Linked DNA regions of Oryctolagus cuniculus. The protein of the gene in region 2 interacts with the protein of the main gene of each other region in a pairwise test. Links are inferred from orthologs where the notes say so. Each region holds a gene or a part of one and is shown on either strand. Other genes may lie near its edges. The genes, in order: TGOLN2, AP2M1, DVL2 and FXR2.

What was found.
Region 1: the proteins of AP2M1 (region 2) and TGOLN2 interact in a two-hybrid assay, tested with the Homo sapiens proteins (2 studies listed by BioGRID). The link is inferred for Oryctolagus cuniculus from reciprocal best matches to the Homo sapiens genes AP2M1 and TGOLN2.
Region 3: the proteins of AP2M1 (region 2) and DVL2 interact in a two-hybrid assay, tested with the Homo sapiens proteins (2 studies listed by BioGRID and IntAct). The two-hybrid records come from large-scale screens. The link is inferred for Oryctolagus cuniculus from reciprocal best matches to the Homo sapiens genes AP2M1 and DVL2.
Region 4: the proteins of AP2M1 (region 2) and FXR2 interact in binary tests that used the Homo sapiens proteins (3 or more experiments, as listed by UniProt). The link is inferred for Oryctolagus cuniculus from reciprocal best matches to the Homo sapiens genes AP2M1 and FXR2.

The regions. Positions count from the first base shown.
Region 1 is NC_091433.1:117,293,738-117,297,817, forward strand, and holds the start of TGOLN2 (trans-Golgi network integral membrane protein 2), read right to left. Parts: upstream 2,820-4,080; 5' UTR 2,705-2,819; coding exon 2,659-2,704; intron 2,429-2,658; coding exon 1,617-2,428; exon of another isoform or gene 1,418-1,616; intron 1,322-1,417; exon of another isoform or gene 1,138-1,321; intron 1-1,137. UniProt on the Homo sapiens protein: May be involved in regulating membrane traffic to and from trans-Golgi network.
Region 2 is NC_091435.1:93,753,835-93,758,007, reverse strand, and holds the start of AP2M1 (AP-2 complex subunit mu), read right to left. Parts: upstream 2,861-4,173; 5' UTR 2,635-2,860; intron 1,795-2,634; exon of another isoform or gene 1,719-1,794; intron 733-1,718; 5' UTR 690-732; coding exon 616-689; intron 1-615.
Region 3 is NC_091448.1:51,839,465-51,843,567, forward strand, and holds the start of DVL2 (segment polarity protein dishevelled homolog DVL-2), read right to left. Parts: upstream 2,836-4,103; 5' UTR 2,615-2,835; coding exon 2,421-2,614; intron 363-2,420; coding exon 293-362; intron 1-292. Other genes in the region: PHF23 (PHD finger protein 23), read right to left, coding at 3,854-4,068.
Region 4 is NC_091448.1:52,163,221-52,166,780, reverse strand, and holds part of FXR2 (RNA-binding protein FXR2), read left to right. Parts: intron 1-66; coding exon 67-160; intron 161-875; coding exon 876-992; intron 993-3,560. UniProt on the Homo sapiens protein: mRNA-binding protein that acts as a regulator of mRNAs translation and/or stability, and which is required for adult hippocampal neurogenesis. Specifically binds to AU-rich elements (AREs) in the 3'-UTR of target mRNAs.

The DNA.
Region 1 (4,080 bases), on a different chromosome or scaffold from region 2:
TCAGAATCCTTTGTAGTACTTTACAGGAAATGACAGATGGAGGAAGGATGTTCTGGGCTCTAGCTTGCGAAAGTCTGTATGATTTATTCAAGAGTACTCAGTCTGGGGCAGGTGTTCGGCCTGGCGGTTACCAGCTAGATGCCCTCATTCCCTACTGGAGTGTCTGGGTTTGAATCTGCGCTCTGCTCCTCATTCCAGCTTTCTGTTCAGGTGCACCCTGGGAGGCAGCAGGTGGCGGCTCAGGAAGTCAGGTCCCTGCTGCCCACACTGGAGAGCTGGACTGCGTTTTGGCTCCTGACATCAGCCTGGTCCAGCCCTGGCCACCGAGAGCATTTGGGGAGTGAACTAGTCCACAGAAGCACTCGCTGCCTGTCTCTCTCTCTCAAAAAAAAAAAAAAAAAAAAAAAAAAAGTACTCAAAGATCTGCCAACTCTTCCTCAGAGAGCTCTAGGATGGCACGTTCCTTTTTTTAAAATCATAATCAAAAAGTACTTCCTATCCACAAAGTACTCTTTTGGCCCCCCCCTTTGCATCATCAGCTACATTATCACTGTCATTTCACTGCTGAGGTTACTCTCCATGATAAACCACTTGGATGTCCTCATTCTTTAAAAAAAAATTTATGTATTTTTTTTTTTTTTTTTGAGAGACAAACAGAAAGAGATCTTCCTGCTGCTGTTCACTTCCTAAATGCCCACAACAGCGAGAACTGGGCAGGCTGAAGCCAGGATCCCAGAACTCACTCCAGGGCTCCCACCTGGGTGGCAGGGACCCAAGTCCTCAAGCCGCCATCTGCTGCCTCCCAGGGTGCACAACAGCGGGAAGCTGGAATTATAAGCAGAGGCACCCCAACATGGGATGTGGGTACCCCAAGTGATATCGTATCCTAACTGCCCTGCCAAAAGTTCGCCCCATTTCCTCATTCTTTATAGCTGAAGATCTTATGGCCACAATTAATTGAACTCTCCCATTCTAACCAGAGTACTGAAGCTATCTTCAAAATTCTTAGGACTTAATAGGAAATGCACTAATTTTGTCATTAGGGTTGGTTGCTACGGGACACACCATTATTACTTCATACCAAATGCTGACAAAGTAAAAGATGTATGGATCTGTGCAATTTCTGGGTTTTCTTCTAGTTATGACTGTTCAAGAGGTTCCCTGGGCTTCTTGCTGTTGGTATAGGAGACTATGTCACTGAAATCATTCCTTCTGCCACCGCAGATGGAAGACAGGAGGTTGGGGGAGGAAGTCAGAAGTGCTGCACTGGCTCCAGAGTGGAGACGCGGGCAGAGGAGAGTTTTTCCTGCCAGCTCCCCAGGTACTCGGAGGCTGTGAAGGACCACGTCCAGGTTCTGGGAGGCAATCCCATTTCAGGGTGTGTCATAACACTGTCCTAACGTATAACCTAATGCAGGAGCAGAGGACACTGGGAACAGGAAGAGACGCATAATTTACGAAACCAGAGTAAAGAGCCCTTGCAGAGTCTTCAGGAAACACAGACATTTGTCTTAAAACCCCGGTGCTCTCCGGCGGCAGATGGGCGCCCAAGCTTGCGTTTGGGGGAGGGAGGACTGCGGAGTGGGGACAGGGCCCTCGGGCAGCTCCTCACTCACCTTGCGCTTGTTGTGATAGGCAATGTAGAGGACAGCCACGAGAACGGCCGCGGTCACCAGATAGGCAAAGAAGTGGCTGCTCTCTGCGCGGGAACTTCCAGGGCTGTCCTTGAAAAGCTCATCCTTCTCCCTGCTCATGGGATCCAGAAGCAGACCCTCGCGGGTCTCCCCGGAGGCAGGCCCCGGCATCTTCTCTTTCTCTTCCTCCAGGGGTGAGTCCTCTTCAGGAAACGCCTCACCTTCTCCAGCCTCCTTGGGCTCCGCACCTTCAGCAGGCTCTAAAGGCTTGTCCTCCCCCTCCTGCTGGGAAGAAGGGAGCTCAGAGTCCACTATCAAGTCCTCCGTGGACTCAGCTCTGGAAGCAGGCTGCGAGGTCCCTGCTTTGTCAGCCTGGCCGCTTATGCTGCTCTCGGGCTGAGTGTTACCAGGGCTGGGGTTGGAGACTGCCTTGCTGGACTGGTATTTCTCTGCCGTGGTCTTCGGCAGAGCAGGAGGCGTAGAAGCGCTGATTTTCTGGGGCTGCTCCGTAGTCGAAGTGCCAGTGTTTGCGCTTGTCCCCTGCTGCTCCTGGGATGAGTTGCCAGTGTTTGCGCTCGCGTTCGGCGACTCGGTATTTGAGTTGCTAGAGTTTGCGCTAACCTTCAGCTGCCCTATTTGTGAGCTGTTAGAGCCTGCGTTATTGGAAGACGGGTTCAAAGCGAGTACCTTTTCCGTACTATTTATCTCTGGCTCCATGTTCGAAGAGGAGGCTCCAGAGGCCGTAAGGGTAGTGTTTACGTTCTGATTGTCTGCCGAACTGGCATCGTCAGCTACTGAAATGGGAGAAACCAGGCCATTAGGCTTTCAGAGCGCAGATCGGGAAAAGCGGACTCCTCGGAGCAGGAAAGGATCAGGCGCAAAGGGGCGAAAGGGGGCAGGGGGGCGGCGGCGAGCGGAAGGGTAGGGGGAGCAGGAAAGAGGCGAGCCCAGACAGCGGCTGGCCGAGCTGAGGGTGGTGGGCTGGGGGGCGAAAGTGGAGTGGGCGGACAGAAGGGGGTCTTACCCGCCACTGCGACACTCAGCGCGACCAACACAACTAGGAACCGCATCCTGCACAGACTGTGCTTCCGCTCTCTACCAGTCTCGCGAGAGTCGCGCGCGGGACTCCAAACTCGTAGCCACGCCCCTTCCTGCGCGCGCCTCCGTGCCTCCGCCAGGTCTCCCCATTCGGGGGCGGGTCCTGGGGCTCAGCCTTCGGAGAGGTTGGAAGGTTATTTTTTTTTCCTTTTTTTGGCAGTGGCGGTGACTTAGACCCCAGTGGCGGGAGAATCTACCTCTTCCTGGTTTCCAGTCCCCATAGCAGCCATAACAGGCCATCCATTTTTGCTTCTCGCCCTTCGCACCAAGCGGGAGCTTTCTCGCCTCCCGTGGGTCGCTGGGCCCGGCAGCTCCTCGCCCCATCGTTTGCTCGCGTTTCTCGCCCCTCGCTTTCTTGTTCTTTCCCATCTAGAAACAAGTCCAGCCCATCGCCTTCGTCTGAGGTTGCCCAAGATCCTTTCCAAACAAGTGTTCTTGTTCTCATCAGAGTTCTAGAAGGAGAAAATAGAACCTTAGTTCCATCCTTCCGGCATAATCTGCAAATGTTTTAGAGTATGTGTTTGCCTTGCAAATATTTAATGTTTTTAATTAAGTAACACTAGTACATTCTTTGTTAATTAAAACTATTATTTGACCAGCTCTCTGCTATGGCCTGGGAAAGCAGTGGAAGATGGCCCAAGTCGTTGGGCCCCGGCACCCACGTGGGAGACACAGAGGAAGCTCCTGGCTCCTGGCTTCGGATTGAGGCAGCTCCGGCCGTTGCAGCCATCTGGGGAGTGAACCATCCATGGGAGATCTTTCTCTCTCTGCCTCCGCCTATCTATAACTCTGCCTTTCAAATAAATAAGTAAATTTAAAACAAACAAAACATGTGAGAGTGTGTATACAGACACACAAATTCCCAAGAATTGCCAGAAAGAAAAGTACGGAAACCATTAACTTAGTTGAGGAAGGACCCTTAAACCGAGGACCAGAGTTTATAGGTGTGTCTCAGATGAGGTTGAAGGGAAGATGAGCTTAGCTGCCCGTAGGCGGGATCCTGGCATTTTGTGCAAATGTAAAGACCAGGATTGTTGGATCACAACAAGGACAGTGGCAGGGAATGAGGCTGGCGCAGAGCCAGATTAAGAAGTTGAGTGATCTGGGAGTTGTCCAGAACATACATCTTTATTGGACACACAAGTACAACGGAAAATATGCCAGTTAACTCTGGTTGAACTGTAAACTGGTGCCACTCCTGCCCAAAAGGGCGACAGCTGCTAGGGCAACCATTCTCTTCATTTGTATTTGTTTATGGGACACGCAGTCCTAGTCAGTCAAAACTCTTAAGAATTTTAAGAATACTACACGGCACAAATATGATTTTCAGGCACAAGTGCTTTATTAT
Region 2 (4,173 bases):
ACCGAGGTTCTAAGGGTCCCAGGACATGGAGCGGCTCAGAGTCTTCCCTTATGGACCAGAAAGGACAGCATGGCCTCCCTGCCCTTCCCGCAATGGCCTGGAAGTGCCTCAAGTTTGCTCACAACCTCTCTTCCAGAGGAACCGAAAGCAGCTGAATCAGCAGCCTGACACCTCCTAAGAAAGGGAGTGGGAGAGGAGTCGGCAGCCTAGAGAGGCTTTCAAGAGAATCCAGTGCAGGCGCTCAGCATGAGAGCTTTTGAGAGCAAGACGCAGAAGGATTAGTACCTGCAGCCTGGTCACTAACTCCACTTCCCTAAGGGAGGAATCTGCCTGCCTGGGAGACGGCACTCATCTCCTACAACCAGGCTCGTAACCAGGGGAAATGGGAGGAGGAAGGGCTACGGGAGCCACGCCACTGCTCAGGTCCCACTTAGTGGCCGGCAAGCTGGATGTCAGACCTGCTGGGACCCGGGCTATAGCAGCTGAGCTTCCAGGATGCAGTGAGGGGACAGAGTGGCCCAAGTCAAGCCTCTGGATGGCACACACCTGGTCCTGCATGCTGGGGCTGGAGGGCTGCGGTGGCAGGGGCACAGCTGGCTCAGCCAGGGCACTCACCCGATGTCATCTCGGTAGACCCGGGAGATGAGCACCTCCCCCTTGTGATTATAGATGAATAAGCCTCCGATCATGGCGGCAGCTCAGTCTCGGCGGCCCATCGCTCTGAGAACAGACCTAGGACAGGCAGGGGTGGGGCGAGGGAAGACCTCAGGAGCCTGGCCAACAGCCCCTGTGGGGCTGCACAGATCACTGGCTTGCTTTTTTTCCTGACTCAACCCTCTAGCAAGTGACCCTGTGGCCCTCCCAGGCACGCCCCTCCCCTCAGCAAGGCTCCAGTTCCTGTTTATTCCACTGTAGATGGGGGAAAACCAGGAGAGACTAGGGCCCAGGAGTCTAAGGCCATTGACCCTCCCTTTTCTGGGGCTGAGCCAGAGTAGCTCCCACCTCCCCCTCCACAGCGCTGAGCTCAGCAAGGGTCCTTTCCAACCCCCTCTAGTACAGACTCTCACTGGGGCTAATGCCAGTGAGTCACTGAGAAGGCCCGCCTGCGGCTGCAGGAATGACTGGCTGGCGGTAGCAATCACTCCAGCTGGTTCCGGCCTGAGGCACCCTCTCTCAGGCTCCTTCCAGCCTTCGGGAAGGCAGCAGGGGCTGAATCCTCAGAAGCCTAAACATTCCAGGAAAGGCTGTGCAGGGTGGGGGTGGGAGGAGAGAAAGAAGGCCTCAGGCCCTGACAAGGACCTGGGAGTGTGGCTCCAACTTCTCCCAGGCAATCAGATAAGCAGGCAAAGAACAGAGGAGAAAGGTGCTGGCAGACTACCGCCAATGACCCAAGCTATTATTTCTGACACCCCCTCTTTCAAAAGGCCCCAGAGTGCAATAAAAATAAGGACTGGGCAGGTGGAATGGGTTCCTAGATCCTTCCAGCTGGAACTGTGATTCCAGATGCACCAAGTAGCTCCCTTCTGGCCAGAGCACCTACAAGCAAGAGGCAAGCATGTCGGAATGCCCGAATTATCCAAACTATGTAGGTCAAACTAATAGAGACTGTTGGAGAAAAGGGGTTAATTTGGTTCTAGATTTCCTGGATCAGCCCTGGTATTAATTTCACAGGGAGTCGGTCAGCAGAATTTAATAAACGGGAAAATAAAGCCTTTTACTGTGAGATCAAGGTCTCCCAGGCCAGTGAGTTGTCTCCAAAGGTGCCGACAACGCCATCCCTCAGGCCGGTTGAGGCTAGGGAAAGAAATGCAAAATGGAGGTAGAGCCCTGGGCATAGACCAAGGCCATAGGTATCAAGTTGTAGGTAGCTCAGGGCGCCACAGAACCAGAGGTGGGGCCCTGGACTCCACGGCACATTTCACTGAAGGAAAAGACTGGTGGCAGCAGCCAGCGGCTACTCAGGTGAACCTGCAGCAGCCCCGGTGGGGGCATCTAAAAGAGAGCGTTTCCAGCACGGAAAAGGTCAGGGTGACGGCGTGGGGGAGGGAGAGCCGGGAGGGAAGAGTGACAGCGGTGAAGAGGGAAAGCTGGGGGAGACGGAGCCTGCTTTGGGGTTCATGTGCAGAGGCCTGAAGGAGTGGTGGGGCTTTTCGCCCCAAGGAAGCGACATCGCGGGAAGACATGGTGCCACCGAGTTGTCACTGAGCTGAGTGGACGGGGTGCTGCCCAGTGTGAGACCTGTCACAGTCCAAGGAGAAGACACAGGGGTCCGTGCCCCGGGAGACGGGGCAGCTGTCCCTACGCCGAGGCGGCGGCGCCGAAAGCTTCGGGGGGTTGTCACGATCCCAGCGAGGAGGCCCGCGCGGCGGCCCTGCTGCGGGGGGATTCCAGGGAGTCTCCCCCATCACGAGAGGCGCCCGGCGGTTCAGGTGGAGGGCGCCGCTCCCCGCCCTTCCTGCAACCGCGTCCCGGGCGCCCCCGCCCCGCCGTCAGCTCCCTCCCGGGTCTGAAGGCTGAGGCCACTCCCGGGTGTGGGCAGCTTTCTACCCCGCGCAGGGAAGGGCAACGCTGGGAGGCGGGGTGGGCGACCCACGGCATCGTCCCCCACCCCGAAATGCCAAGTCCCCCGCTCACCTGGCGTCCGCGGCCCGAGGGCTCGGCCGGCCCGGCCACTCTTCGGATCCCAAGATGTCCGCCCGCCCCCTGCTCGCCTGCCCGCTGCCTCGGCTTTCACCGCAGTGCCGCGGCCCCGCCCCGGCCTCGGCTGCGCGTGCGCGCTCTCCTCCGCCTCTTGCGTAGACTACAAATCCCGTCAGGCTCCTCACCGGCGATTTTAAACGCCGACAGGTTTCGAAAGACTACAACTACCGATTGCCTTTGAGACCGCCCCCCGTCTTGGGGCGGGTGTGTATGGCCGAGGGGTGGGGGGATGGAGGGGTGGGGTTGGGAAGCGTGGCCTTAGCCTTCCCAACAAATCCCGGCACGTGCGGCTCCACCCACTTCATTTCCTCACTGAGCATTCTGGGGATTGTAGTCTTTGTTGTCCCCCGGTCCTATTTCAGTGTTTTGAAGCATCTCAGAGGATTAGTTTGTCGGGTCCCATCTGCTAAGCCAGAGGTTGCTGCAGGACATTCTCTGTCTCCAGAGTCCGAGGACTGGCTGTTCTTACTCTGTGCACAAACATGCAACATGGCAGAACTGTTTGTGCTGAATTTATTGTTTTCTAACACCACCTCTGATTCCCCCAAGCTTTTATATATCTGTTCCAGACATGAGCCTCATTCTCTGGGGATCAGAAGGGCAGGAGGTGGGAGGCAAACTTGAAAGCTATTAGCTAAAGCTTTTCATGAGGGTGCCAGCGTTCTGTGTGTGCACCTTCTAGTGACAAGCATACATTTCCTAGAAAATGTTGGCAAGTTGAACTTAGTTGGCCAAAGGATGCAGAATTCATCTTCACATCTAAGGTGAAAGGAAGAAACAGAGCCAGCCTTCAAATATGAAAAGGCCTGCCTGGTGCTTAAAGGACTGTAAGAAACAGTTCTTCTCTCTCTGTAGACAGATACTCTGATGACTTCCTTGGGAGGACTCAGCTTGTCATGGGAAGGAGGGGCAAGGAGGGGCAAACCTGGTTGTAAACCTTACTGTCTCTAGCAGTCTCTTGCCAGACGACAGTATGTAGTAGGCTGAAGATCTGACCTCCCTCACAGCCTGAAGGCATTTAATCCTTCATGCCTGCCTTTGTAAAAGCTTTATCTTCCAAACACATCCTAAACTCCTACCAACTTAAGAGTAAATAATAATGGTAAATGATAATAATAATAATAGCTACCATTTATTGAGCACCTACTCTATTCTGTGCCATGCACTGTGCTAGGCACTTTTCGTACAATATCTAATTTAAATCCTCACAACAACCCTGTGAGGTAGGTATTATTATCATTTTACATATGAGGGAACTGAGGCTCAGAGAGGTTAAATAACTCTCCTATCACGCAATCAAAAAGTAGTAGAGCTGGAATTCAGACTCAGAACAACCAGAGTCCAAACCCCATGCTCCGGTGAATTAAAGTAGAGGAAGAGGGGAGAGAAAGGGCCAAATTCCAGAGACTGTTGGGTGCAATGGATATGGTACGATGACTAGTAAGATATGGGAAGGGATTTAAGCCTATAAAT
Region 3 (4,103 bases), on a different chromosome or scaffold from region 2:
ACTGCCCACTCTGTCAAAAAAAAAAAAAAAAAAAAGTAATAATAACTTTATTTTGACGCATGCCCACGCACCCTGTTTTGAAGCCCACGCATCCTTTTCTCATACTATGCATTTCCCATGAACGTTTTTGAAGCCCCCTCATGGCAGAGGCTCCAGAAGAAAGCCGAGGAGCTCCCACTGGCTCTCCAAACAGGGAGGGAGGCAAAGGGCCAGGGCAATGACTGGGCAGGGAGAGGCTACAGACAGATGAGGCTGGGAGCAGCCTGGGAACCCAGAGGGAATGGGCCCTTACCCAGGATACCACCCTTCCGTTGAAGCAGGGCAGGCGGGCATTGTCATCTGAAATTTCTTCCTTCACCACCCTGCCGGGAGACAGGACGAGGTCAGCGAGGCTGGGTCAGCCACCCCCGCCGCCAGCTTCTCCGTCTTCACCCAGCTCAAGGATGCCGGCCACCCCCTGCCTCGTTCCCCCTCTCTCCTAGGGAAACAACCTCCAAACCCCACTCCCACCACGTTTCGCCTGCTCGCCCCAGCTGGCCCTCAGGGGCAATGCTGCTCCAAAGACTTCCTGCAGCATGACTGGAAGGCCAACCCCTGTGGTTACCTGGTTGCCAGTGAGCCTTGCTGGTAGCCGTCCCCAAACCCAGCCCTGTTCCGTACACACCTTCCCCAACCTCATACAAGCTTCTACTCTCCCACTTCCCTTTAGTTTTTTCTAATCCACTTCCAGAGAGTGGTCCAGATGTGCTGTCTTTGTCAGGGGACAAAAGCCCATTAGAGGAACCAACAGCATCTCCTTAGGCTGAGAGCTGGGAAGAAGAGAGGAAGCCAGGCTTCCCGTTCCCCTGTGCCTCCCCTGGAAGAACTCTGCTCTCAACAACATGCTGGGTCTCAAGACCCCAAAGCCCCACCAGCTCCCCTGTGTTCCCTGTAGTGGACTGGACTTGCCCCCCTTTCTTCTCAACCACCCCTTGCAATCAGCAGCACCCATTCTGTTGTACACCACGCCCTGACCACGCAGCATTAACACTTGTTGACTAAACAAACAAAACACACAAACCAATAGATTCTCTGGTTTCTCCTCTGTCTCACAAACACACCCTCTCCCCTCCCCAAATCAGAACATCTTGTCTGATTAACCCTTTAGCCTAATATGCCTCTGGGAGTGTGTATATACACCAACTGAATCCATTTGCTAGTTATGTGACAACAGGGCCCAGCCACTACCAATCTGTTTCAGTGTAATTAGTGTTCTCCCAATATAACCCATCTTGGCACAGCTCAACCCACTCCACGGCAGGCTATTCTGTATCACCACAACCGAGTTTGTGGACCTGTGGGCCTCAATGCCAAGGACAACGATGACCACGCCCCAAGAGTTTCCCATGTGCCAAGCGCGGGAACTAAGCATTTCACTCTGTGATTATCTCAAATGTGAGAAAAATCAACGCACAAAGGTAAATGAAATTGCCCAAGATTACACTGCTGACCAATCCAAGAGCTTTGATTTAAGCCCAAGATAACTCCCAAGACAACTGTCACTCTCCCCACGCTGAACGACCTTTTTAGGCAGAGTCCAGTTTGTTCCGTCCCCCTAAAATCCAAGCCATCAACACAATCTAGCCAGCCAGTGAAACAACTGAGCAGTCAAAACAAGAGTGGTCATTCCCCAAAGTGAGAAAAACAAAAGGGCTTCGAATATGTTATTTACAGTCCCAGTCAAGTCCAGGAATCCCCAAATTACCCCAGGATAGCCCAATCTATTCTAGCACAGCCTACAACGTCCCTGCATGCAGCTGTCTGCACCAATATAGACTAGACTATCCCAATACAGCTGTCTGTATTAGCAAAAGCCCCAACAGCCTTATCTGCCCTGTACTAAGTGCCCCGATGCGTGCCGAAGAAGAGTTATTAGGTTAGGATCAACCAAGAGACCAGAATGACCCCAGCCCGTCCAGTAGCCCACTCCAAGGCAGCCTAGAACACCGCAACTTTTTTTTTTTTTTTTTTTTTGCATTAGCATGCATACACTCCATGGAGTCCCCAAACAATCCTGTCTCTGCCACAACGTTCCAACTGCCGCCAACACAAGCCCGGCTATGTCAAGAGACTGCAGGCTGTCTCCACACAAGCTGTGTGCTACAGGAAAACGCTCAGTCCCGACCACCCCAAAACCAACCTGCGCGCCCCCACCTATTCCATATGGCCCAATCTTCTCCACTTTATCGCTCCGTGTGCATCCATCTGTCCAGGCATAACCTTGTCCGTCCTGGGACGGCCACTCTGCCTCAGTGTGGCACAATCCGATCCACTGAAGGCCAGAAAACCCGTGTAACCCAGAGCAGACCCGTGCCCCCTGCAGAACGCCCCATCCGTGCGGGTACAGCCCCCGTCAGTCCCAGGCTAGGCCTCGCGCTCACCCGAAATCCTGATCCATGGACTTGAAAAAGTACTTAGCACCCGCGGGCCGCTGCAGAACGCTCTTGAAGTCTCCAAGGGTGATGCGCTCGGCGGGGACTGGGATCTTCACCAGGTAGGGAGTCTCCTCCTCATCCAGGTGGTAAATCACCTTCGTCTCCCCGACGCCTCCGCCCCCCGTGCTGCTGCCCGCCATGGTCTCGCCCGCGCGCTCCCGGGCTCCGCCGCCCACCCAGTGGGGCTATCTGCGGCCCGCCGCGCCTGCGCACACTCGAACCCCGACCGGAGCGCGGACGCGACAGAGCCAGTGTGGGCGTGGGGCAGCGGGGAGGCGGCGGGGTGCGGCAGGGTGGCGGGCCGCGCGACGCGCCCCGGAGCGGCGCACTCAGCCGCCGCGCGCCACCGCCGCCGACGTCGCGAGCGCCCTCCAGGGCCCCGCCCACCTCGCCTCATGTCACGTGGCCCGAGCCCGCCCACCTCGCGCTCCCTGCACCGCCCTTCGCCACGTGACCCCTCCGCCATCACGTGACTACTCGGCTCCTCCCAGCGCTCCCTCCACGTGACCGCTGCCTTCAGCAACGGTCTCCCAGCCCCGACCCACTCCGCCCCCGAGCGTATCCCCCACCGGAGGTCCTCCCGGCTGGCACCGTGTCCTGGGGACCTCCGTCTTCGGGGTGGGGGGCGCCCTGCGCCGTCCGGGCGGGAACGCGAAGCGACTGCGCACGACCGTCCGTGCAGGAGCAGCGGGACCGCGGGCGCGCGTGGAGGGAAGAAGCCGACGGAGCCCCTGGGGTTGTGTCCCGGCGCGGGAAGGCCCGGACGCCGAGGTGGGTTTGTGCCCTGCGGCCAGCTCCCCCAGAGCCTCCCCCCAAGCAGGACAGTCAGGGAGGGCTAGAAACACAAAGAGCCCACTCTGCTTTATTTACAACACGCAGGCTGTCTGTACAAACGGCTGGCCAGTAGTAAAAACAAGAGGTGCGTGAGGACCGTCACCTTGCCGCTCTCCTTGCTCGCTTGGCCAGGCTCACTCCACCTCTGAGCCGCCACGCTCGAAAGAGGAAGTCCAACATTAAAAATACAACCGGTGTAGAAGAAAATAAATTGGGAGTAAAATAAAAGATGAGGGAGGGGAATGCTATATTTACACTAGAGTTTATAGACAGCTGTCCCAGTCCATCCCAATTCCAACCCTGGCAGGTCCAAGATGCTGCATCCGGGGCCCCCGACAGCCTCCCACGCCCAACGCAACGTCCACTCCAGTCCACAGGCTGGGGAGGGAGGGGAGGGAGGGACCGTGAGACTCATTTCCGAAGTCTGCCTTGGGCGTTCCTGCCTTGAAGCGGGGACCACATCCAGACTCCAGGGGATGGGCTGAAGCCCCCGAGGCTCAGTTCCCGAATCGTCACTTGCCAGTTCCAGCCTGGAGTTGGCAGTGTCAGGGCTCTCCAGATTTGGGAAGCCCCCCTAACCGCCGCGCCTCAGGCCGCAGTTCCTTGCATTTCTGGCAATAAAAGAAGTCAGGGACATTGGTCTTCTTAATCTTAGCACAGGAGAGGTGGATCCACGTCCCACATAGGCTGCACTCGATCATGGGCCGCCCTGCGAAGGGCTTCCGGCAGTAACACGTGATCAGGTCCCATGAGTCATCACCTGGGGAAAGAAGGTTTGCTGGATGTCCTGCCTGT
Region 4 (3,560 bases), on a different chromosome or scaffold from region 2:
TTTCTCACCTGAACTGTTCAGTGCATTCTGTGCTCTGCCTTCTGAGTGCCTTCCTCTTTCCTGTAGCTGCTCTAACGAAAACGTCCATAAAGAGTTCAAGAAAGCGCTTGGAGCCAACTGCATCTTTCTCAACATCACAAACAGTGAGCTCTTCATTCTGGTGAGTTTATTCTGCCTGAATTTCCCATAAGCCCTTCCAATAGTTTTTCCTTTTCCCCTTTTAACCTCTTTGCACAAAGGGAGGAACTGAAATATGCTTACATTTATCTGTTAGAGTTCCTTCCTTCCTTCTTTATTTACTTAATTAATTAATTAATTAAATGTATTTATTTGAAAGGCAGAGATTGAACTCCCATCTGCTAGTTCACTCCCCAAAGCCAGGAGCCTGAAACTCCATTTGGTTCTCTGGTGCCAGGGTTCCCAAGCATTTGGGCCATCCGCTGCTGCTTCCCCAGGTACATTAGCAAGGAGCTAGATCAGCAGTGGAGTAGCCAAGATTCAAACTGGTGCTCTGATTTGGGATGCCAGCATTGCAAGCACTGTACCACAATGCTAGGCACTTCAGCGTCATTGATTATTTTTTAGATTTATTTATTTAACTGAAAGAGTTACATAGAGAGCAAGACAGAGAAAGATTCTCCATCTACTGATTCACTCCCCAGACGTCTGTGACAGCTGGGGCTGGGCCAGGCCAAAGCCAGGGGCAGGAGAAGCAGTGTACTTAGTATGCTAGCACGGCACGTGGCAGTCCGACCTGCTGCACCACAACACTGATCCCAACTGTAGGGATGCAGGCATCCTGATTCCCAGTCCCCGGCTCTCCCCAGGTATGTATTCAAGTCAATTTTCATGACTTTCCATTGGTTTGCTTCCAGTCAACCACGGAAGCCCCTGTGAAGCGGGCGTCTCTGCTGGGTGATATGCATTTTCGAAGCCTGCGCACCAAACTACTACTCATGTCCCGCAATGAAGAAGCTACCAAGCACCTAGAGGTAATTTGTGGCTCCTCTCCCTCCTGCCAAAGGGTGTTCCTCCTTGTCCCACTGTCCACCCATGCTCTTTATTTATAGAGCACTAAGGCCCCCCCCCCCGGTTTTTTTTTTTTTTTTTTTTTTTTAAGATTTATGTATTTATTTGAAAGGCAGAGTGACAGAGAGGGGAGAGGTCTTCTTTCTGCTGGTTCACTCCCCAAATGGCTACAATGGCCAGAGCTGTGCCATTCTGAAGCCAGGAGCTAGGAGCTTCTTCCAGGTCTGCCAGGCAGGTGCAGGGAGGGACCCAAGCACTTGGGCCACTTCTACTGCTTTCCTAGGCCATAGCAGAGACTGGATGGGAAGTGGAGCAGCTGGGACTAGAACCGGTGCCCATATGGGATGCTGGCACTGCAAGTGGCAGCTTTACCTGCTACGCCACAGCGCTTGCTCCCCAAAAACAGGTTTCACTTGGCTGTTAAACCTGGATTGACTGTTTTGTTTCAAATTCCTCTAGATGACAGAGTTGTATCATGTTATGGTATAATCTTTTTATATTCATTTATTTTTGTTATAATTTGAGGGACAGAGGTAGAGATGGAGAGGAGAGATATCTCCATCTGCCAGTTAACTCCCTAAGTGGCTGCAATGGCCAGAGCTGGGACAGGCTAAAGCCAGGGCCCAGGAGCTGCTGCTTCTGGGTCTCCCATGTGGATGCAGGGGCCCAAGTACTTGGGCCATCTTCAAAGCAGATCAGCAGGGAGCTGGATGGGAAGTGGAGCAGCCTGGACCTGAACTGGCGCCCGTATGGGATGCTGGCGTCACGGGCTGTGGCTTCACTCTGTGCCGTGGTGCTGGCCCCGGCGCACTCATCTTCACACTTCAGCCACAGGCTCCTTCCGCCAAGTGAGATTTTACTTGAAGGCACAATGCATAAACAGATTAACCAGAGCAGCTCTGTCTAAAAGTGGAAAGGGGCATGGCTCTTACTGTCACTGATGCCCTTGTATCACCTCTGGAAACCAAACTACTCTGTGGAATATGTATGAGAAGTGTTTATACTCTGCTTAATACCACTGGGCTTGGCCTCCTGCCTTGCTTTGTCATGTAATTGTCCATTTGGCAAATCATTTGATTTCACTGGGCTTTCTCTTTAAGATTTACTTATTTGAAAGGCAGAGTTTTGGGGTGGGCAGGGAGATCTTTTCCATCTGTTCGTTCACTCCCCAAATGGCTGCAAAGGCTGTGGCTGGGCTGGGCTAGGCTAGGCTAGGCTAGGCTGAAGCCAAGAGCCTGGAACTCCATCCAGGTCTCTCATATGGGTAGCCGTGGCCCAAGTACCTGGGCAGTCTTCCACTGCTTTCCCAGATACATTAGCAGGGAGCTGAATTGGAAGTGGAAGAGCTTGGACTCCGTACAGCACAGTGCTGGCCCCTTGGCTGGAGTTTTCATCATGACAAAGAGGTAGTTAGACTAGAATATTTCTTCAAATTTTCGAGTCCTGATACACTGTTACTATCAGATTCCATTTCCTAGGTATTACACCATTCCAGGCGAGTACGAGGTTTTGTGTGTCTTGAACATGCATCCATTTATCAAGTGAACTGGTCATTTGGGGGGGGCTCGTCTCTGAGCCTGTGCAAATTCTGGATCATGGTGGTATTAGAGAACCATTTCGTCAGTGTAAGAACACCGAGAGGGCCGGTGCCACGGCTCACTAGGCTAATCCTCCACCTGTGGCGCCGGCACCCCGGGTTCTAGTCCCGGTTGCCCCTCTTCCAGGCCAGCTCTCTGCTGTGGCCTGGGAAGGCAGCAGAGGATGGCCCAAGTCTTTGGGCCCTGCACCCGCATGGGAGACCAGGAGGAAGCACCTGGCTCCTGGCTTCGGATCAGCGCAGTGCCAGCCGTAGCGGCCATTAGGGAACTGAACCAATGGAAGGAAGACCTTTCTCTCTGTCTCTCTCTCACTGTCTTAATTCTGCCTGTCAAAAAAACAAAAAAAAAACAAAAAAAAAAAACAAAAAAAACAACACTGAGAGGCATTTTAAAGATTTATTTATTTATTTGAAAAAGTGTTACACAGAGAGAGAGGGAGAGGCAGAGAGAGGTCTTCCATCCACTGGTTCACTCCTCAGTTGGCCACAATATGGGGAGCTACACCGATCCAAAGCCAGGAGCCGGGAGCTTCTTCTGGGTGTCCCATGCAGGTGCAGGGAGGAACCCAAGGACTTGGACCATCTTCTGCTTTCCCAGGCCATGGCAGAGAGCTGGACCGGAAGTGGAGCAGCCAGGACTTGAACTGGCGCCCATATAGGATGCTGGCACTGCAGGCAGGGGCTTTAACCTGCTGCACCACAGCGCCAGCCCCAAGGCCCACTTCTTAGACATAATAATTTGATCAAACTTTTTTTTTAAAGATTTATTTTATCTATTTGAAAGGCAGAGTTGTAGGAGGAGGCGGGGGTCTGCGGTGCACTGGTTCACTACCCACATGGCTGCAAGGGTCAGGGCTGGACCAGGCTGAAGCCAGGCAGGTACAGGGGCCCAAGAACTCGGGCTGTCTTCCACTGCTTTCCCAGGCCACAGCAG